3 linked regions of the Drosophila melanogaster genome follow. Changing the gene in region 3 together with the main gene of any one other region gives a genetic interaction. Each region holds a gene or a part of one and is shown on either strand. Other genes may lie near its edges. The genes, in order: Pex19, mdy and Hnf4.

Region 1 (6,515 bases), 3.4 Mb from region 3:
GGCATTAGTTGTTTGTGGGTCGCGAGCTGGCTTCCCCGGAACTCCATTGTCCTTAAATTAGCATCTCTCATAGCATATATACCTTCGATCGCAATTGGTGGAAACTTCGCGCCTCTGCCCACAAACGTTTGGTTTTGGCACTCCAACCACATGACATTCGTCATGCACTCAGCGAAAATACTTAGCAAATGTTGTTCATGCAAAGAAATATTCATATTCTGTATAATTATTGCTTAAGAATATATATTTTTCAGTACCTAAATGTATAAGAATGAAGAAGCTATAAATTAAATAATAAATAGTTAGTTAGTTGAAAGGGATTATCTTCCTGTGTATTGGGACGTCACAGAGTCTGGCTGAATTTTCGCCGATCATGTAGGAAGTGTCCCAGGGGCAAAAAGGGGAGCCCCTGCCACATACACCCACTTTCGAGAAACTCATTAGCCTGGGGCACAACAAACCCGGCAACTCGGGGCACAAACAAACCAATCCCGAGCCCAATCGACTGCTAAACGCTGTCGGCACACATCTGAGAGACGGCGACGGAGGCCAACAAATTGATCATTAAACAGAAGGCGCAAATGTAGGCGCAACCCATCGTTGTCCAACAGAAGATCGTAGCATCGGAGCATCAGGTCGAGATCAAACACCTGGGCCCTCGACCTGGCGAAGAAAGTGACGAGGCTGCGACGTCAACAAGATTAATTTGTTTTCCGGCCGGGTTCCATCTCCATCCAGAGTCACAGAGCCACATCCACATCCATATTTCCCAACTCAGCCGGCAACCTGTTGTCCAGTTCCCCGATTTGTAATTGCCCTGCTTTGTGGTAGTCGATCAGGTTCGATCGCGGATCGATCATATACTCTACTATAATGGACAAACTCGATGGATGGCGAAAGAACATCATTAGTTTTCTCGGCGTAGAGTCCACAAAGTAGGTGGCGTTTTTCTCACATCCCGAGTGTTTCTATGGAATCTCGATTTGGAGATGTTGGATCTTCTCTTCGGCGGCGTTTGTCCATTAGCCACGGTTTGCATCGGATATATGCGAATTTAAATAAAATCATTCAATTGTTTCATTAATCACTGGCTACGGTCGGCGTTTTCTATTAAAAAAAATGCATTGCCAATGGAAAAATTGACTGCAGAGACCGTGATTATTTATACATTAGTGGGAAAGAATCTTCAGTTTTATGCGAAGAGCTTAAAAAGTTTCTCATGATGTCCTACTTAGAAGTGGTTTTATGTTTTAGCAATCTATAATTTCTATGAAACTTAATTGGGAGTAATTCCTAACCACTGTAATAAAAACTATTTGACCTGAGGAAGCCAAAAGCAGCTCTTGAGCCACCAAATCGATTGGGAAACATAAAACATATATGTGCTGCAGTTCACGATAAAAAAAAAGCAGGGCATGGCGAATTGGGAGGCTGCAACCGAAACGCACACTTAATTTCCGCTTAATCAAACAGAACAGCGACTGGGGGGGCACAGACAGAGCAACCCACATCATCTGGAGTCGGCTACCCTTCGACCCAATCCTCTAGAGGAAAACGTATGGCAGACGCAAGGGCTCATTTGCATGGCCACTTTGATGGAGAGCGATGGGTGTCGGAGCATGAAGAGCTCGCCCCATTGCGCAATGGTTGATGGTGGATGTTGTATGTTGGATGGTGGATGTGGGTGTCTTGTCTTTCGGGAAGCTGCCAGCAGTTGACTTCTCCAGTTCTTCTTTTCGGGGCAGGATTTCAAAGGAAAAGTGAGCGTTTTCCAGGAATGACTGGGAGCCTTGTAATCGCAATTACCATGGCCAAAATATCAAAAGATAATGCCATCCTGGCCAGACACAAAAATATGTCGAAACATATATAAATATCTTATATTTTGTGATACTTGAATGATTAATACAAGGTGTACTAAAGCTACAAGTTATTTTGAATGTAATGTAACATTCAGATTTCTAGAATCAGAGTTTAATTTAATTAGTATAATTTTTTTATTTTAAAGAACTTTTATTCCTTTTATATTACATATATATTACATATATTTAGTGTCTTAATTTATTTACTCCTTTATATATACTTATTATTTACACTTTATTACCATAGCCACACGACACCAGCCACAATATAAATAATGTGTCTATAAAGTCGCAATCATCGTCATTACCGAACAATCGCGAAATCCATTATATCCTGTTCAGTGCATCGTAAAATCGAGCATCTTTCGCTGGAAGGATGCGGAAATGTTGAAAAAAATAGCGATGCGATCAGCGAGCGTGAAATCGCAGTCAGCATATGAAAAGGATGTACAGGATCGTATCCTGGCAAAGTTCCTGCAAAAAGGAAGGGAAGTGTAGATGCTTGTGAAGACGCTGATGGGCATTTTATGACGGTTGGAATCCTTCCTCTTCTGGGGAAATAGAGCTGGAGATTCAGGTAAATTCAGCTAGTCTAGCAAACCGATTATATCGGAATAAACAACTTTATGACGCGCCTGTTGGTGCCTTAAAAATTATGTCAAAAAAGAGCGAGTTTCTTGGTTTATTGGGATCGGGTGTGAGTGTGACCCAAAAACCATTGTTTTGGCCAACGAAGGGGTTTTTACGTTTTCGACTTTTGTTTTGACTTTTTGACGGTTGTCTTGACTTTTTGAACTGAACTGCTTGGGTTCTAAGAAATTTGAAGTTGAACTATATACTCTGATGTTCGCAGCGAATAGAGAATGAAATTTTTCCCTAAAAAGAGAGTTATGGTTTTTAGGGAAATTTTTGATGTTATATGTATGCATATTCTGTAAATGGATTACAGCCCATAAAAAGTCAAATTACCCTGTTTCTGTAGGAAATGTAAGAGTTTCAGGCGGTTTGTTCCACCCTAAGCCGCAAAATAAAACACCAAATTATGCATTATTTCAGTCGAAGCTCCGCCCATGCTGACATTTTCAGAGAACCGACTGACCGAAGAAAACTCCGCCCCAATAGTGGAAATAGAGGAAAAAACACAAATTTACCACAATACTTCGCTGCGTGGGCGTACCGAATCGAAGATTCGTTTTGCTCTTCTGGTAAACCGTGCGGTTAAAGTCGCAAAGAGCACAGCCCATCCCAGCCCAGCCATTTGACCATATGAGCGGAATTGAGGAAACCAAGCGGGGTTCCTCCGCAGCGGTGACCTTCGGGCGGGAGTGGACCTAGAGCTGGACGCCCTACTGCAAAATCCATGTGTCCCGTCCATGGGTGTGACGTTCTGGTTTCGGAATTGGTCGCGCATCAGCGTCGCGCCGTGACCTTGATGGTTTTGCGACCCCTCCCTCACCACTCAGTATGTGCGGTTTGGGCTCTGGTCGCAGTTTGGTCGCCGATCTCCGTCCGCGCACAGCGAGGTGCCATTCCCGGGGAGATTGGCTGAGAGTTTCGCAGAAGATGCGTAAATATTTTGGGTGATTATTTTAGATAATCTTCGACTAATGTCCTTGGTTTGTCTCTCAAGACAGGAGGGATATTGAGGTGCTTCGAATTTAAGTTTATTAGTCTGATGTAGGCCTAGATTTAAATATGTACACTATTATATTGTAGATGGGTGTACTGATGACTTGTTGTTGTAAGACATATAATTTTCTAAATCAAAACTCGAAATTTTCATTGACAATAAATATATGTTATATGAATTAAATGGCTAGACATTTTCACACTTATGTGTAGTCCACAATAATAATGCATTCCAGATTATTTCGAAATAGGTATTCTGAACTTGTTTTGAACTTTATATAATAGTAACAAATAAGAATTCTTAATTTAAGGAATATATTTACTAAAAATTAAACAAAATATAGCTATTTTTCTTAAAAAAAACATTAAATGCATTTAAAAGTTGTTTAAGTAATATGAATTTTGTCTAAGCCCTAACCGAAACTGAAATCTTAAAATTAAAACCAACAATTATATAGAAAAGTTAATTTTTAAATTTTTTTCTTATCATTTCGCATCCTTTTAAAAAGCCGTTACGAATGCGGTCGCACTAAGATGTGAGTCAGTGTAGCCACACCTGTTCAGCTGACTGCGGTATGCACCAGCAGCAGATGAACGGTCCCACTGATTGATTCAGTCAGTCTTTATTTTTTACCATTTCCCACCCACCACGAAATCAAGGAAAAGCATCCCGAAATTGCACAATGTCCGAAGAAAAGAAGAATGGCGATGAATTAAACGACTTGCTGGACAGTGAGTACAGCCCGGAAATGCCTTTGGCGATCCCTTCTCGACCCCTTACATAATGCGCACTGCGTCGTCCACTTTTCGCACAGGTGCTCTCCAGGATTTCGATAAAAGTGGTGCCGGTGACCAAAAGGAGCCGTCCGCATCATCGGATGTGGCGACCAACGCTGGACCTGAGGGCTCCGAGGATCCAGATGCGTTTTTCATGTGAGTCAATGCGCCAGTGCAACGCGGCACTTGAACTTTGTATTCTGACCTGTTATCCGCCTTCAGTGAGCAGGCCAAGGTGCTGGCCGATCGCATGAACACGCTCTTCGGAGGTCCGGACACGCCCAGTGGCGATATTCCGCCGCTGCCCCAGGATCCCGACCAGATCATGGCCGGTTTCAAAAAGATGGCCGAAGCGGCAGCGCTCACCTTGAGCGGCGAAAATTCGGCCACCGACGAGGATGTCTCCAAGTATTCTGATAGCATTTCCCAGGCTCTCAAGGGTCTGCAAGAGGGCTCCGAGAACCTGGCTGCTCCCGCCTCGGAGAACGACATAGCCAGCATGTTTGGTTCACTGAATCTTGAAGGGGTATGCATCCTGAAAATGAAATATGAATTCTCCTTGCTCAATCATTAAACAATCCCCGTTTGACAGGCTGGCGAGGGTGATGGAAACATGTTCCTACCATTCATGGAGGGCATGATGCAGAGCCTGCTCTCGGCGGAGATTCTGTTGCCCAGCATCCGGGAGCTGCTGGAGAAGTACCCCAAGTACCTCGAGGAGAACGACGCCAAGCTCTCCGCTGAGGACAAGGAAAGGTATGCTCGAAATCAACTCGCAATAAGATACTTTTATTGAGAAACCAATACATACAGGTACCAGAAGCAGATGGAGCTGTACAAGGTGATTGAGGGGCATTTACAGAGCGAGAAGACCGAGGATTCGGCCGCCGTGAAGCGAGAGAAGTTCCGCGTCGTGCTGGACGACATGCGCAAACTGCAAGACTACGGCCAGCCGCCGCCAGAGATTCTGGCCGAGACGGGCGGCGACTTGCCCTTCGGCGATCCCACTGCCGGCGTAGCAGCCGGCGGTCCCGGTCCCCAGTGCCCAACCATGTAGTGGCTGACGGAGCACGATAGTCTCGTGGTGTGCCAATTGGTTAACTGTTGAGTGTTGCACATTTTTTAGGCTAAGGCAAATTTGTATTTTATTTTATCACCGACAAAACAATACGGCGGTCGCTAATGGTTATCACCTCTCTCTTCAATCAAGCTATTATTTTCGTATTAACTGTTGGTTTATTAAGTAGTTCTATACCTAAATACAATGCCTCGAAATACACCTAGAGGAAGAAGCGACGTCGCGACTCCATGGCGTGCCGTTTGTTGCTGATTATCCAGGCATAGTCACCGGTCTTGCTGTCGAATGTGCCCTCCTGCAGGGAACGTAGTTTCAGGGTGAACCGCGGCCCCAGTTCGCGCAGCTTTACGCGTTTTCCCTCTTTGGTGAACTCGTAGCGGTGGTGACGGAAGAATATGTAATCTCGCTGATTGTGGAACGTCACCGCTCGGCGGCCGCGGAACTCGGGATCGTGATGGAAGAGGGCACCCAGCATGCGGCCCACGGTCAGACCCAAACGTGTGGTAAAATTGTTCAGGATCACTTCGGGCCTGTGCTTGGTTATCTCCTTGTGATCGCGCTTTATGTCCGAGGTGAGCTTCACGTTGGACAGCTTGAAGTGGGCAGTGGGACCATTGGGCAGATGAATGACCAGCAGCCCATTGGGCTTTCTGCGATCTTCGTTAACGATCACGACGTCTGTGAACTCCTCGCGCTCGGCGCTTTTGCATATCTTCTTCACCGACGACTTGTTGCGAATCTTAACCAGGGCGTTGGGGAATATGCGCGAAAGCTCCAGTCCAAACTTACGCGTCTTGGTCACCGGATTGTCAGCAAAAGTGATCAGCACCTTTGGCTCGTACGAACGTTCGAAGTACGAGCTGAAATCGTCCAGTTGGAGTTCCTTTTGCAACTCCTCGTTGTCGGAATCGTTCAGATTGGCCACCTCTGTTTGGTCCTTCTCTCGCAGGCTCTCTATGGTGTGACCAGGATTGGCGGGTACACCAGCCTTCCGTCGGGCACGGCGCTCCTGCATTTTTTTCTTGTGCTTCTCCTTCTTCATTTTTTTGTACAACGCCAAACGCTGCTCCTTGTTGCGCATCCAGCTGAGGGGATTCAAAACAGGAATTCGTGTCTTCTTGTCGTCGTCGTCGTCATCATCCTCTTCTTCGTCGTCGTCGTCATTCTCC
Region 2 (5,455 bases), 8.1 Mb from region 3:
TCGCAGATCTATGGGATTCCCGTGCTGATCGAATAGATTTTGTGTTGACTTGCGGTTTCGCAGACTGCTAAGATTATGCTCTGTGGCGGACGCCGATCTTCTCAAGCGCTTCATGATACCCACACCGCTGGATCCGCTATTCTTGGTCGGTTGTTCTGCTTTCCCGGGCTCCTTATCTTGGGGATCCTTATTGGTGGTCATGGTGATGGTCTCTATATTGAAAGAATTTCAATTTATAGTGATTACTTCTAGCTTATCGCAAATTCCGTTTGCAGTTGAAATGCAAAGATAAGATTTGTTTTGGTACCCCTTATAAAATGTTTGAGTGCTTTTATTTTGACACACAAATAACTCAGATGGGATCCCAGGAGGTTGTAAACAGTGGAGGCATTTTCAGAGTCGCTTATCTATTGAATAAATACGCAACTGAGATAAGAAATAATGAGGGTAATTAAGTAATAAGATGTCTTAAGCACATATCTTGTTTTTTATTTATGAAAATCGTTTTATTACTTGCTGAAGCTGGTCATATATTAGTTTATTAGTAAACAGAGCTATATGTATGTTAGAGAATAAATAGATCCATACAAAACCAGAAGCAAAATGCGGCTTGAGGTCAAAGTTCAGCTGACTGAGAGATTGCTGATTGAGTAATCAGATACCGATTTGCATAGACATTGAGCCCGCATTTGATAATGTGGTTAAGCCAACAGCTTCTCACTTAAATCGTTTAAAACCAGTTGTAAAGCTGCTACGATCGTACTTGACATTAGCTCCCACAGTCAAGATCGCATGTCAACCAAATGGGAGGGCATTATCGCCGTTAAGCCTCAAAGTTTCAAATCCACATCCACCTTTTGCAATGAAAATTGTATAGAACTCAAGAATCATCAACAAATAAACGGTTGATATGTGCAGATTCTATTTTTGAATACAAATGCGATTCAAGTTATAGATTTGCGTTCACGTAACTTGTTTTTGTTAAACAACGAGTAGCAAGATACGATTAGGAAATTGTTGTCTCAGCAATTATTTAATATTTATAAATCAGTGAAATACCTACATATATGTATGCAACTAAAATTAATGACGAAATTTGTGTGTGTTATCTGTTGAAAAGATATCTTAGGTAACAAAATCTACGTCATGTTACGAAGGCAACCATTTTTACCTAATTGTTTTATGCGAGTAGTTTGTTGATACCTTGTTTATTTGACATCAAAGTTCGATCACTATCGCTGCTTATCGCTAATGAACCGAAAAATCAATTTAAGTGATCGTGGATGCCAACCTTTTCAGTAATGGCTTTTGAAAGTTGTAATGTATACGATTCGAGTTCAGGATTGAAATAATTTATGGTTTTGAAAAAAGGACAGATGAAGAATTTTAGCAATTTTTGTCTCGCAGCGTGTATTTAGTATTCCACTGGCGGAAAACACAAAGTTTTACATAATTATTCAGTGCGTTGAACTGATCCAAGTGCAACAAAGACATATACTCCAATCTCATATGTTCGTTCATGGGGAGTTCAGTACGATTTCAGTCGAGTCACCGTGACGCAACGTCATTCAGAACTTCAAGTCGGAGCTCGTTATGGCCCATCAACCGAATGATGAGTAATTTACAGGCATCGAGGACCGAGGCAGTCCGAGATGTACATGAAGCATTCAAAGAGAGATTGCATTATATGCACCCATTAATATACATATTATAAATCCGTGCAAATAAGTTAATCAGGATAGAACTGTAGAGATATTTTGAAGTGCAAGGTAAAAGAAGAAAGCAAAGTCGACTCATTGTGGGTTCTTATTAAAAATGTATATTTCAACGTCTAGCTTCATTTGAGTTATATATTTATAAATGCGCTACAATTGTGACCTCTGCTGTTTGAATAGATATGTAAGAACACACATATACAACCCGCATGTGGAAACCGAACCTGAATTGAATGCTCTCTGCGGTTTGACGATTAGTTTGTTGAACTTTCGGTTTATATTTAAACAATCGAAGGTGGGGGCGGTACAGCGGTAACTGCAGCAGAATGATAATGGATCTTGGAAAAGTTTCGTCTATTTATTGAGCACTGTTGATCTTTATTTTGTGCTCTGCCCTAGGGCGAACTTAAAATGGTGAAAATATTCCAAACATTTTAGTTGTCCATGTAGGACGGATAATTACTGTCGGAACCGGTTGCGGCTTTATAAGGAAGAACTTTCCATAGCGATGATAAAAGTAGGTCAGTAACTCAAGTAGATTCATCAACTTGAGTGGCGAACGCCGCCCAATGGAACATCGATTGATAAAGGTTATCAAGCTGCTCAAGCTGCGGTTCATAAACTCGGAGATTGCATAATACCCACGTTATCATGTTGCCAGGGTAGACATGTCTGGCTGGGCCACCCTAATCACAATTTTCTTGCCCCTTACCATGTAAAACGGATGCATACCAGCTAGAGTCGAAATTCTATGAGGCGTTTTTGCTGGAATCAATCTAACTTTGGAGAATGAAATATTTATAATTGATTTCAAACATAAACCGCATTTTTAAAGACACCATGTTAAGTTTAATGTAATGTGAAGTTAACCATGACAAGCTTCACTGTAGCCTACAAATTATCGAGAGGAAAAATACACAAAAATTTCGCCGGCTTCCTCTAATCAGAATGAAACAACAATGCTCTTATCAGCCGGATTCTGACATTTGCCGTGCCACTGATAATTTCTAAGTGGAATGGAATTTGTTTTCCCAACCAGACACAAGCTCTCTCTTTTGCTGGGTCATTTTATCTCCGGTCAGAAGTGCTCTCTGTTTGGGTTTTCAGCATAAACCGGTTTTTTGGCATAGAAGTTTGTTTGGTTTTTACTGTTTGGCTTTTTCTGTTTGATGGAGACGACGCCGCCACATTTCGGAAATGTTTTTTTTTTTGTTTTTTTTTTTTTAGTTTGCGACGCAATGCCCGGATCAAGGTTATACAGCCATTGGTCAAATATATGCACACGCATTCACACATTTAGTTATATAGACATTATCAACGCTCATTCAATTCAAGGGAAGGCGGAGATAGTTTCACTAATTTATGATGGCTATATGGTATGCAAAAATAAAGCCTCCGTATTCGTCTATATACGATTTGTTGTTAGGTATATCTTGTTTTTTATCTGCTTAGCTGCTGTTCTCATAAAATTTAGCCGCTTTAATGGGCTTTGAGTCACCAAATCACACTGCACGTGTTTGCCACTTGTTGTTTTTGTTTTCTTTTCAGTGGGTGCCAGAAACACATTACCGATTGGAACAACTGCACTTGCAGATCTTCTTCTTATTCGCTCAAGTTCATTACTCCGCCATCGAAAACTTCAAACAAAAGCGAGAGTTAGACAGAGAACGAAGATCGCCGAAGAAGCGTAAACAAACACACAAAAAAATATCACACTGATCGTTTAATTTTTTACTTGAACTCTGGGAACTTTGTGTGCCTTGTATTGTTTGTACCTAGTTAATAATATATTATTTGTCTACTCAGTTTAGCACACCTTGCACACAATTTAATCCAATTGGCAAGTTTTTGTTGTTTCTTTCAACAAGAGCAGACTTATTTTCACGTACTGGAAGCGGCCTCTTTTTACCGTAAACCGCACGCTTCAACGACGAGTTCTCAACTGACGCTTGGAAAATACAACTGGAAATAAACAAAGCAATAGGCTCGACATCAGTGATGTCCGGAGTTGAGCGGGAAAATGATTTTTTCACGATTTTTTCATGATAAAACAGTAAGAGCTACAATCGTCAATAGTTTTCATCCTAAAGACAGTAATAAGTAATAATATTGTATTAATGAATACTCAGAAACAATTTGAATTTTGCTTACATATTTTCCGCTAACATGTCAGCACTGTCTGATAAACTTTGGCTATCGGTATCGAACAGTGAACGATCGATATTTACTGGAAGGAAATTTGGCGGTACATTTGAAACGCAAAATTATTATTATTCATAGAAAAGAAAAACGACTGTGTTATTCATTAATGTATAATTATTTCCAGTGAGCATTAAGGGTATAGACATACTTTTCAATGAGATAATATGTTTGGATTATCCATCAGTATTTTAACTTACCCCTTTTTTAATATTTGTGTAGAAAGACAAAGACTCTCTAGTGCAGGTCCCGCTTGTCGCGCACAAGGTGGCGCAATCGACTGATCTCCCCAATAGATGGCTCTATTGTATTTTATTTTCGTATATCGTATATCGTATTTCGTTTTGGTTTTTTTTTTATTTTCACACTTAACAACTAAAAAACGTAGAAAAATTTCAATAATTTAATGCTTAATTACACAACGAAAACTCTTTGCTCGAATTACATTGGGTATAGAACGCAGTCACATTGTGACGCCAGCAGGGCCTAACAACTAACAACAAATAAATACAGATTCAATTAAAGCTGACTTATGTACAAGAACGTATTAGGCGTGAGAAAAAGTTTCTGATAGATTTGGTATAGAGCGCAGTTCAAGAAAAATGCTTGTTTTGGGCTAATGCTGCTGTCGCCTCTCGTCGATCTCGTCCTCCTCCAGACCCTCGATAAGATCCTCCAAGTCGTCTTCCCCATCATCCACATCATCCACAAATTGATCGATTCGTTTGAGTAAATTGTTTGGCTCTTCAGCCTCCTCCTCCTCCTCCTCATCCTCATCATTTTCAGTAACCGTTTCATTATCATCCTCAATGCCCTCCTCCTCATCTTCATCATTGTATTCCATAATATCATCACTGGTGGTGACCCCGTCTTTAATCCGTGACTCAGGCAATTGATCATAGTCAAATACCTGACGTGTTGCCCGAGGTGGTGTTTCAGTGGAAATCGTTGACCCCAGACCTTCGCCAGCTTCGTCATCTTCATGGGTGTCATCTTTAAGGAGACTCTCTATGCCCGCCCCTTTACTGGATATCCTAGGTTCCGGTTGCTGCGGCAACAACTTGGTGCTAACTGGCCTCAGCACAGTGCTGGTAGTAGAACTTGCTACCAAAGGTAAATCAGTGGATGAGCCCATCTTTTGGGCATCGGCAAACATATTGTCCAGTAGACTAAGCAGATCGTTTACACCGCTTGGCTTTTCTGGAGTGGGTTGTGGTGGAATTAAAGGGGTGGTGCTGATTATGGGCACTTTAGTGGTTGTTGAAGTTGTGGTTTTCGTAGCGGTGGCAACGGTTGTAGTGCTAGTGCTTACTACTGGAGCCTTAGTGGTGGTGCTATATATAGGAGTTTTTTCAGGCGCCCTTGTCGTCGTAGGTTTCATGGTAGTGGGCTTATTAGTCGTGGTTGTCGTTGTCATTGGTGTTGTTTTGGTGTGCAAATGTTTTACCTGATAGGACTCCACAGTTCCCCTCTTCTCATTAGGATCGGCTATCCTAACTACTGGTTCCCTCTTGGAGATAACCGGCACTATCTTCGGACTA
Region 3 (6,976 bases):
GCAATGCAATTCATACAAAGGCCTCCGGAAATAAACGTGAACACGTCTGTCAATGCATTGTTTAAAAAAAAAGATAAATTAAATTCAATTAACAAACAAGCGTTTTTTATAAGTGGTATTCCAAATATATTTTCACTTCCATCGCTCAAGCTTATATAAAGAAATTTTTCAAAAAGAACCTAATATATTTCTAATATATGCTTGGTAAACAACAACATGGTGTCCAAAAATAAATACAAGTTTTGCGTAGTTCGAGCAAAGTTCCCACCGAACTTGTGTTTGGCAGACGAATCATATGAATATGAATATATATGATGTACATATATAACTCACACATGCCTGCGAAACATTGTGGTCAAAAATCCAACTTAAAAAAATAAATTTTCCAATAGTCATATATTTAAGCAGACATTCCTATTATTTTAAGAATAAATAAATAAAAACATAAATAAGTAAAACACAATGGTGAGAGAAGGAGAGATCGCTACAGCACCGATGTATCGGTCAATACGAAAATTATCATCGTGGCGCGAATAATTGATTCTCTTATTTTGGAACCGCTCTCCAGATCCATTTATTTATACTTTTTGGAGGCTCGTCGTCTGCCTGTTACGAGTATTGCGTTCGGCATATTAATTAAATAAATTTTTAGAGAACACATATGAGTATTTATAGATAAAAGTTCTGCTTTGCTTTTATATGATGGTCAGGTGTTCACATTTGTTTGTTTTCACGAGAAACGTGAAATCCCTGTATGTATGTACATATGTATGTTATTGATTGCTGTTTTCGGCTCTTTCATTTTATCAGCGCATCATCCAAATAATACTATTTTCCGAATCAAGAATCCGATATTTTCTAATCTCAGATTACGATTTGCCCACCTCAGTGTGAGGCATCAAAATTTTTTTGCAATACTAACGATGACGCGGTCGGAAAAAAAGTGAACTCTAACGATGACTTGGCTAAAAATATAAAAATTACACCGCAGCCTGTTTCCCCCTCCCGCGGAGTGTGCGAGCGAAACGGCTGCGGTGGGCGAGAGAGATGGCGAGTGTGGGGCGAGACAGTTTTATGCGCGAAATGTTAGCAAACGAGTATTATGGTTTCTTATTTACCTTTTTTATTCGTTGCTGTTTCAGTGTATGTTTGCTTTTTCCTCTCCAACTGGTAGAACAACAACATTAAGTGTAAGAAAACAACAAATGCACACCCATAAACAGAGAGATAAGAACTTTTGGCAGTTGTATTTTTTACTTAAACTTCTCTTGGTCGAGCAACTGCTCTTATTTCGAGTTGGATTTTCAAGCGGTGAGGATATGTTTCAGGTGTATAATATCGGAATTGTCGGTGTACCGTGATTAACTGTCTGAGAATCTGTAAACAAAGTGAACAATTTGCTGTTTGGAGTGCAATCATGAAAAGTCTATTCAAATTGTAAATGTTTGCCAATCAATTACCTTTTAGAGAATTCCCTGCATATGAAAACTAATAAGGCAAATAGTGGAAAATCTGTGGGAACCACCCACTGCGAACGCTTCGAGATAATAACAGTATTTATACACCTATTAAAATGGTAATTGAAAGAATATTTTTTTAAATAATTATTTTAAATAATTCCATTCTATTCAATTTTCAAAAACAAGTATTCCTTAAAATCGACTGTACGAGCACTTTTATTGTTGTTTATTAAAAGTAACTACTATTTTCCGTCGATGCCTATTTTCCGCTTTACTAGTATTTCTATTTTCTCTCTTTCTCCGTCTCCCCAAATGATTTTCTCACACACGCAAACAGTCTCTCATAACGATGTCCAAATTAAAGCCGGCTTTTTTGTACACATTTTATTTATTTATTTGTTTATTCGTTTGGCCGATGTCGTTGTCGTTGATGTTGTTGTTGTTGCTTTTGCTCTTGCTTCTGCTTCTGTCCATTAAATGAATTTCTATCTCTGCGGCTGCGTGCCTCTGTGTTGGTGAGAGCCCCAAGTCTGGTTTTGGGGTCTCGCTCCCTCTCTGCGGGAAAGAAAGAGAGGGGTCGACATATGCAAACACAGTTGAATTGATTTAAGCGTCGATTAACGCACACACTCAAAACGCACGGTGGGAATTCGAGCTTTTTAAAACTAAATTTAGAAACTTCAGAACGCGTGGTGACGTGGTGATATATTGATATGATCGCACTTCAGAATACCTAACCAACTATGTTAGAATATAAAACTTCCAAAACAGAAATGTTAATAAGATTTAGAGGGGAAATTCATTATTTATTCGTTTATTAAAAAGTATTTTTTTGTAATAATATTATTTTCATATCCATGTCAAAAAGCTTACATAAAGCATTATGGAACATTATTAAACAGCTTTTATTTGTTTTCATAGAAAGAGAGTAATATTTATTAACGTAGAATTTTCTGAAATCAGACCACTGTGCGGTGGCGCAGAGAGAGCAGGAGAGGTGCCAAGAAACAACATACGATACCGCGACTGAAAAATTTCGAGTCGTGTGTTTTTTCATTAATCAGTTGCATTAAAATGGTGCGCAAGTCCGGTAGAGTTAAGATTTCTAGTCGCGATCGCGTTGCCGTTGGCAACATTCTGCTGCGTGGCAAAGTGGGCGGTGGGCGGGTGGCAGTTGCAGCGGCAGAGGAGGCAGAGGCGGGGCGACGTCGACGCAGGCGCGACAGCAGCGCCAGCCGAACTGCATCCAGTGACGGTCAGTTGTTGCTTTTATTTTTAATATTGTTGTTATTTGTGCAGTTTCTGTTTGTTGCTATTGCGCGATTTTTCGCTGGTTTTCACACAATCCCAACTCTATGACCACTGTGTATCGTACGTTATACAGCTGCGATCGAAATAAAAGAAAAACTAACAAAAATACCAGTAAATAATTTTTATTGGTACATATATACCTTTTTATGAAAAAATAGTAGTCTTAAAGGAACACATACACATTATTTAGTATCGACTTCATATTATATATGATAAAGAAAATTATTTCTCTATTAGACTCTGTGCAGAAATTTCGGACTGTGTATGTTTTTAATTGCTCTTTGATTGCAAAGATTGTCCGTGGATTTAAAATGGCATATCCAGTTGCTGCAAAACCTTAGCGAGGAATTTGCGTAGGCATGATCAAATTCTAAAACTGTGCGTGCGCCCAGCACCCGCAGCTTCAAAACTGTGGATCTCACCATGACGGAACACTTTTTACAACAAAGCGATTTACATTTGAAGATTAGAATATTTTCCATTTTAAAGAAGTAGAACTAGTTCGACTGGGCTGGTGGGGTTATGACTTTAAGAAGTATTTCAACAGTTTATATTGCTCACTTATTTACTGTACATATATTAAAGTTTAAGGCCGCCCTCGTAACATTTAAGACTGTGTCAGGAATATATGTACGTTTTTCTAATGAAGATTTTGTTCATACAACTCATCTTATGAATAACACTTTTACCTGCTTTTCGTTGCAGAATCGGAGAGCCACATAATGCACGCGGATGCCCTGGCCTCTGCCTATCCGGCTGCCTCGCAGCCCCACAGTCCGATCGGCCTCGCCCTCAGCCCCAATGGCGGTGGGCTGGGACTGAGCAACAGTAGCAACCAGAGCAGCGAGAACTTTGCGCTCTGCAACGGAAACGGAAATGCGGGCAGCGCAGGAGGCGGAAGTGCCAGCAGTGGCAGCAACAACAACAACAGCATGTTCTCACCCAACAACAACTTGAGCGGAAGCGGAAGTGGGACTAACAGCAGTCAGCAGCAATTGCAGCAGCAACAACAACAGCAATCACCGACGGTCTGCGCCATTTGTGGAGATCGGGCGACGGGCAAACATTATGGAGCCTCCAGCTGCGACGGCTGCAAAGGATTCTTCAGGAGGAGTGTCAGGAAAAATCATCAGTACACTTGCAGGTACACATATGTCCTTATACGGGACTAGTAGGGAGATTAAGATTTTCCCAATGCCAAATTTCCAGTCAGAAATAATTTGTATAATTCATAACGATAACCCTGGTGGGACGTGTCGGGACCTGGCGGAAAATTCTAAGTTTACGACTATCTATACGCATTCGTTACTCAACTTAAACTTCTCTTGGCAGATTTGCGCGAAACTGCGTTGTGGACAAGGACAAACGGAATCAGTGCCGCTACTGCCGGCTGAGGAAGTGCTTCAAGGCGGGCATGAAGAAGGAGGCGGTGCAAAACGAGCGGGATCGCATTAGCTGCCGCCGCACCTCCAATGACGACCCGGATCCGGGCAATGGGCTGTCTGTGATTTCCTTGGTTAAGGCGGAGAATGAGTCGCGTCAGTCGAAGGCAGGCGCTGCCATGGAGCCAAACATTAACGAGGACCTCTCCAACAAGCAGTTCGCGAGCATCAACGATGTCTGCGAGTCGATGAAGCAGCAGCTGCTGACCCTGGTGGAATGGGCTAAGCAGATTCCGGCCTTTAACGAGCTGCAGCTGGATGACCAGGTGGCACTGCTACGCGCCCATGCTGGCGAGCATTTGCTCCTCGGCCTGTCTCGTCGTTCGATGCACTTGAAGGATGTTCTCCTGCTGAGCAACAATTGTGTGATCACAAGGCACTGTCCAGGTAATGTTTTTGATACTATCAAAACCTATAAGTGAAATTGGTATAACCTTTGCAATCATTCTTTTTCCAGATCCCCTTGTGTCGCCGAATTTGGACATCTCCCGGATCGGCGCCCGTATCATCGATGAACTGGTGACGGTCATGAAGGATGTGGGTATCGATGACACTGAATTCGCTTGCATCAAGGCCCTAGTCTTCTTCGATCCCAGTGAGTTATTTAACTTATTTACAAAAGTGACCGTTTAATAATTGGTTCTTCAAATAACTTTAGATGCCAAGGGTCTTAATGAACCGCATCGCATCAAATCGCTACGGCATCAGATACTCAATAATCTCGAGGACTACATATCAGATCGGCAATACGAGTCGCGCGGTCGCTTTGGCGAGATTCTGCTCATCCTGCCGGTTCTGCAGTCTATTACCTGGCAGATGATCGAGCAGATCCAGTTTGCCAAGATCTTTGGAGTGGCCCACATTGATTCATTACTGCAGGAAATGTTGTTGGGAGGTCAGTATTTAAATGTTGCAAATATACGTTTGGAACAATTTATTAATTTAATTTTTGTGTGTGTGTTAATAGGAGAGTTGGCCGACAATCCTCTGCCGCTATCGCCGCCCAATCAGTCAAATGACTACCAGAGTCCCACCCACACAGGCAACATGGAGGGCGGTAATCAAGTTAACTCCTCTCTGGACTCGCTGGCCACGTCCGGTGGTCCTGGCTCGCATAGTCTGGACCTGGAGGTGCAGCACATTCAGGCTCTTATCGAGGCGAACAGTGCGGATGATTCCTTCCGGGCCTACGCGGCCAGCACTGCAGCGGCAGCCGCTGCAGCCGTCTCGTCCTCCTCCTCTGCACCCGCATCCGTTGCTCCAGCCTCGATCTCTCCTCCGCTCAACAGCCCCAAGTCACAACATCAACATCAGCAACATGCGACGCATCAGCAACAACAGGAGAGCTCCTACTTGGACATGCCCGTCAAGCACTACAATGGCAGTCGGTCCGGACCGCTGCCAACACAGCACAGTCCCCAGAGGATGCATCCCTACCAAAGAGCAGTCGCCTCGCCGGTCGAAGTGTCCAGCGGGGGCGGCGGATTGGGTCTGCGCAATCCTGCCGATATTACGCTCAACGAGTACAACCGGAGCGAGGGTAGCAGTGCCGAGGAGCTGCTGCGACGAACTCCACTGAAGATCCGGGCTCCCGAGATGCTAACCGCACCCGCTGGTTATGGAACGGGTGCGTAGTAGATTGATTCGAAGCAAGAAGACATTTCAATAATATATTTTATATACTATTTCAGAACCCTGTCGCATGACACTTAAACAGGAGCCAGAGACTGGTTACTAGAAGAATAACGAACGGTGCAATATGCAGTTTGCAATAGGACACCCCTTAAGCACACAACCCATACACATACAGGCCCTCTCTTGCTGTACTCCCCACCAAGTGCTATATAGAGATGAAATTGAAATGAAGAACTTACTTAATTGTTATGCCTTGAACCATTTTGATACTTTTTATTAGTCCTAAGTAGGTATTTTGGAAATTGTTGCTTAATTTTTAATGTTTAACGCAGTTGCAATATATTTTTGGAGTCATATTTTGCTCAAGAAGTTTATTATATACAATTATACTATATATATACACCATTTAGCATGTACTGAGTTTGTTGGTTATTTGGTTATCTTATACTTGTGCGTGGATCACAAAACATTCATATAAGGCCATGCAATATATTGTTTTAGGTTAGGGTGTTGTCTAGATTATGCTGAAAGTGTAATATATATTTAATTTTAAACAAAGAACTATTTTTATATGAATATGTATAATATACAAACTATTTCTAAGATGGCTGAATGAATAAACAAAATCAAAATAAACACTGGAGAATATGAATGTAAATCGTTTACTGCGGCATTTTTACTAGTAATAAATATTACTATAATTTATAATTTATGCCATCTCTTTCAGCAACAACTTTAAATATCCAAACTGATAAAGCGATATATGTTCCTATGCTCCCACTTAGAACGTAACCCTGATCCTGCATAGAAAAAATTCAATAACGTATTACAAAGACTAACTAACGTTTATTTATCGATATTGCTAATGCCCGTCTTCTCGACCTGGGCGAGGAGCTCTTGGAGCTTGTTGTCGAAGAGCTCGCATCGAATGGGCATCTCCAGGGAGTAGAAGGGGTTCTTGAGCACGTAGTCTGAGTACAGCTCGTAAACCTTTCGCAGCAGCAGATCAATGCCATTGAGACCCGTTTCCGAGATTATAATGAACTTGATTCCGGTCAGCGTTTGGAAGCAGTGCAGCGTGAAAGTGTCCGCCTCTAGGATCTCGATGCCGGAACTCTTGGGCTCCGG

Evidence for each region.
Region 1: of Hnf4 (region 3) and Pex19, changing one suppresses a phenotype caused by changing the other (phenotypic suppression), as found in Drosophila melanogaster (one study listed by BioGRID).
Region 2: of Hnf4 (region 3) and mdy, changing one suppresses a phenotype caused by changing the other (phenotypic suppression), as found in Drosophila melanogaster (one study listed by BioGRID).

Annotation. Positions count from the first base shown.
Region 1 is NT_033779.5:12,089,688-12,096,202, forward strand, and holds Pex19 (peroxin 19), read left to right. Parts: upstream 1-2,134; 5' UTR 2,135-2,439; exon of another isoform or gene 2,440-2,671; intron 2,672-4,000; 5' UTR 4,001-4,174; coding exon 4,175-4,223; intron 4,224-4,306; coding exon 4,307-4,424; intron 4,425-4,490; coding exon 4,491-4,794; intron 4,795-4,860; coding exon 4,861-5,024; intron 5,025-5,081; coding exon 5,082-5,325; 3' UTR 5,326-5,548; downstream 5,549-6,515. Other genes in the region: CG6712 (uncharacterized protein), read right to left, coding at 5,549-6,515.
Region 2 is NT_033779.5:16,814,869-16,820,323, reverse strand, and holds the start of mdy (midway), read right to left. Parts: upstream 3,665-5,455; 5' UTR 3,285-3,664; intron 3,217-3,284; exon of another isoform or gene 2,865-3,216; intron 213-2,864; 5' UTR 202-212; coding exon 1-201. Other genes in the region: CG13272 (uncharacterized protein), read right to left, coding at 4,531-5,455.
Region 3 is NT_033779.5:8,686,753-8,693,728, reverse strand, and holds Hnf4 (hepatocyte nuclear factor 4), read left to right. Parts: upstream 1-2,519; 5' UTR 2,520-2,534; coding exon 2,535-2,715; intron 2,716-3,476; coding exon 3,477-3,915; intron 3,916-4,103; coding exon 4,104-4,600; intron 4,601-4,670; coding exon 4,671-4,808; intron 4,809-4,871; coding exon 4,872-5,108; intron 5,109-5,180; coding exon 5,181-5,840; intron 5,841-5,904; coding exon 5,905-5,951; 3' UTR 5,952-6,476; downstream 6,477-6,976. Other genes in the region: Trs23 (TRAPP subunit 23), read right to left, coding at 6,695-6,976. UniProt on the Drosophila melanogaster protein: Transcriptionally controlled transcription factor. Important for the differentiation of various specialized cell types that arise from both endoderm and mesoderm. May have a role in early gut formation.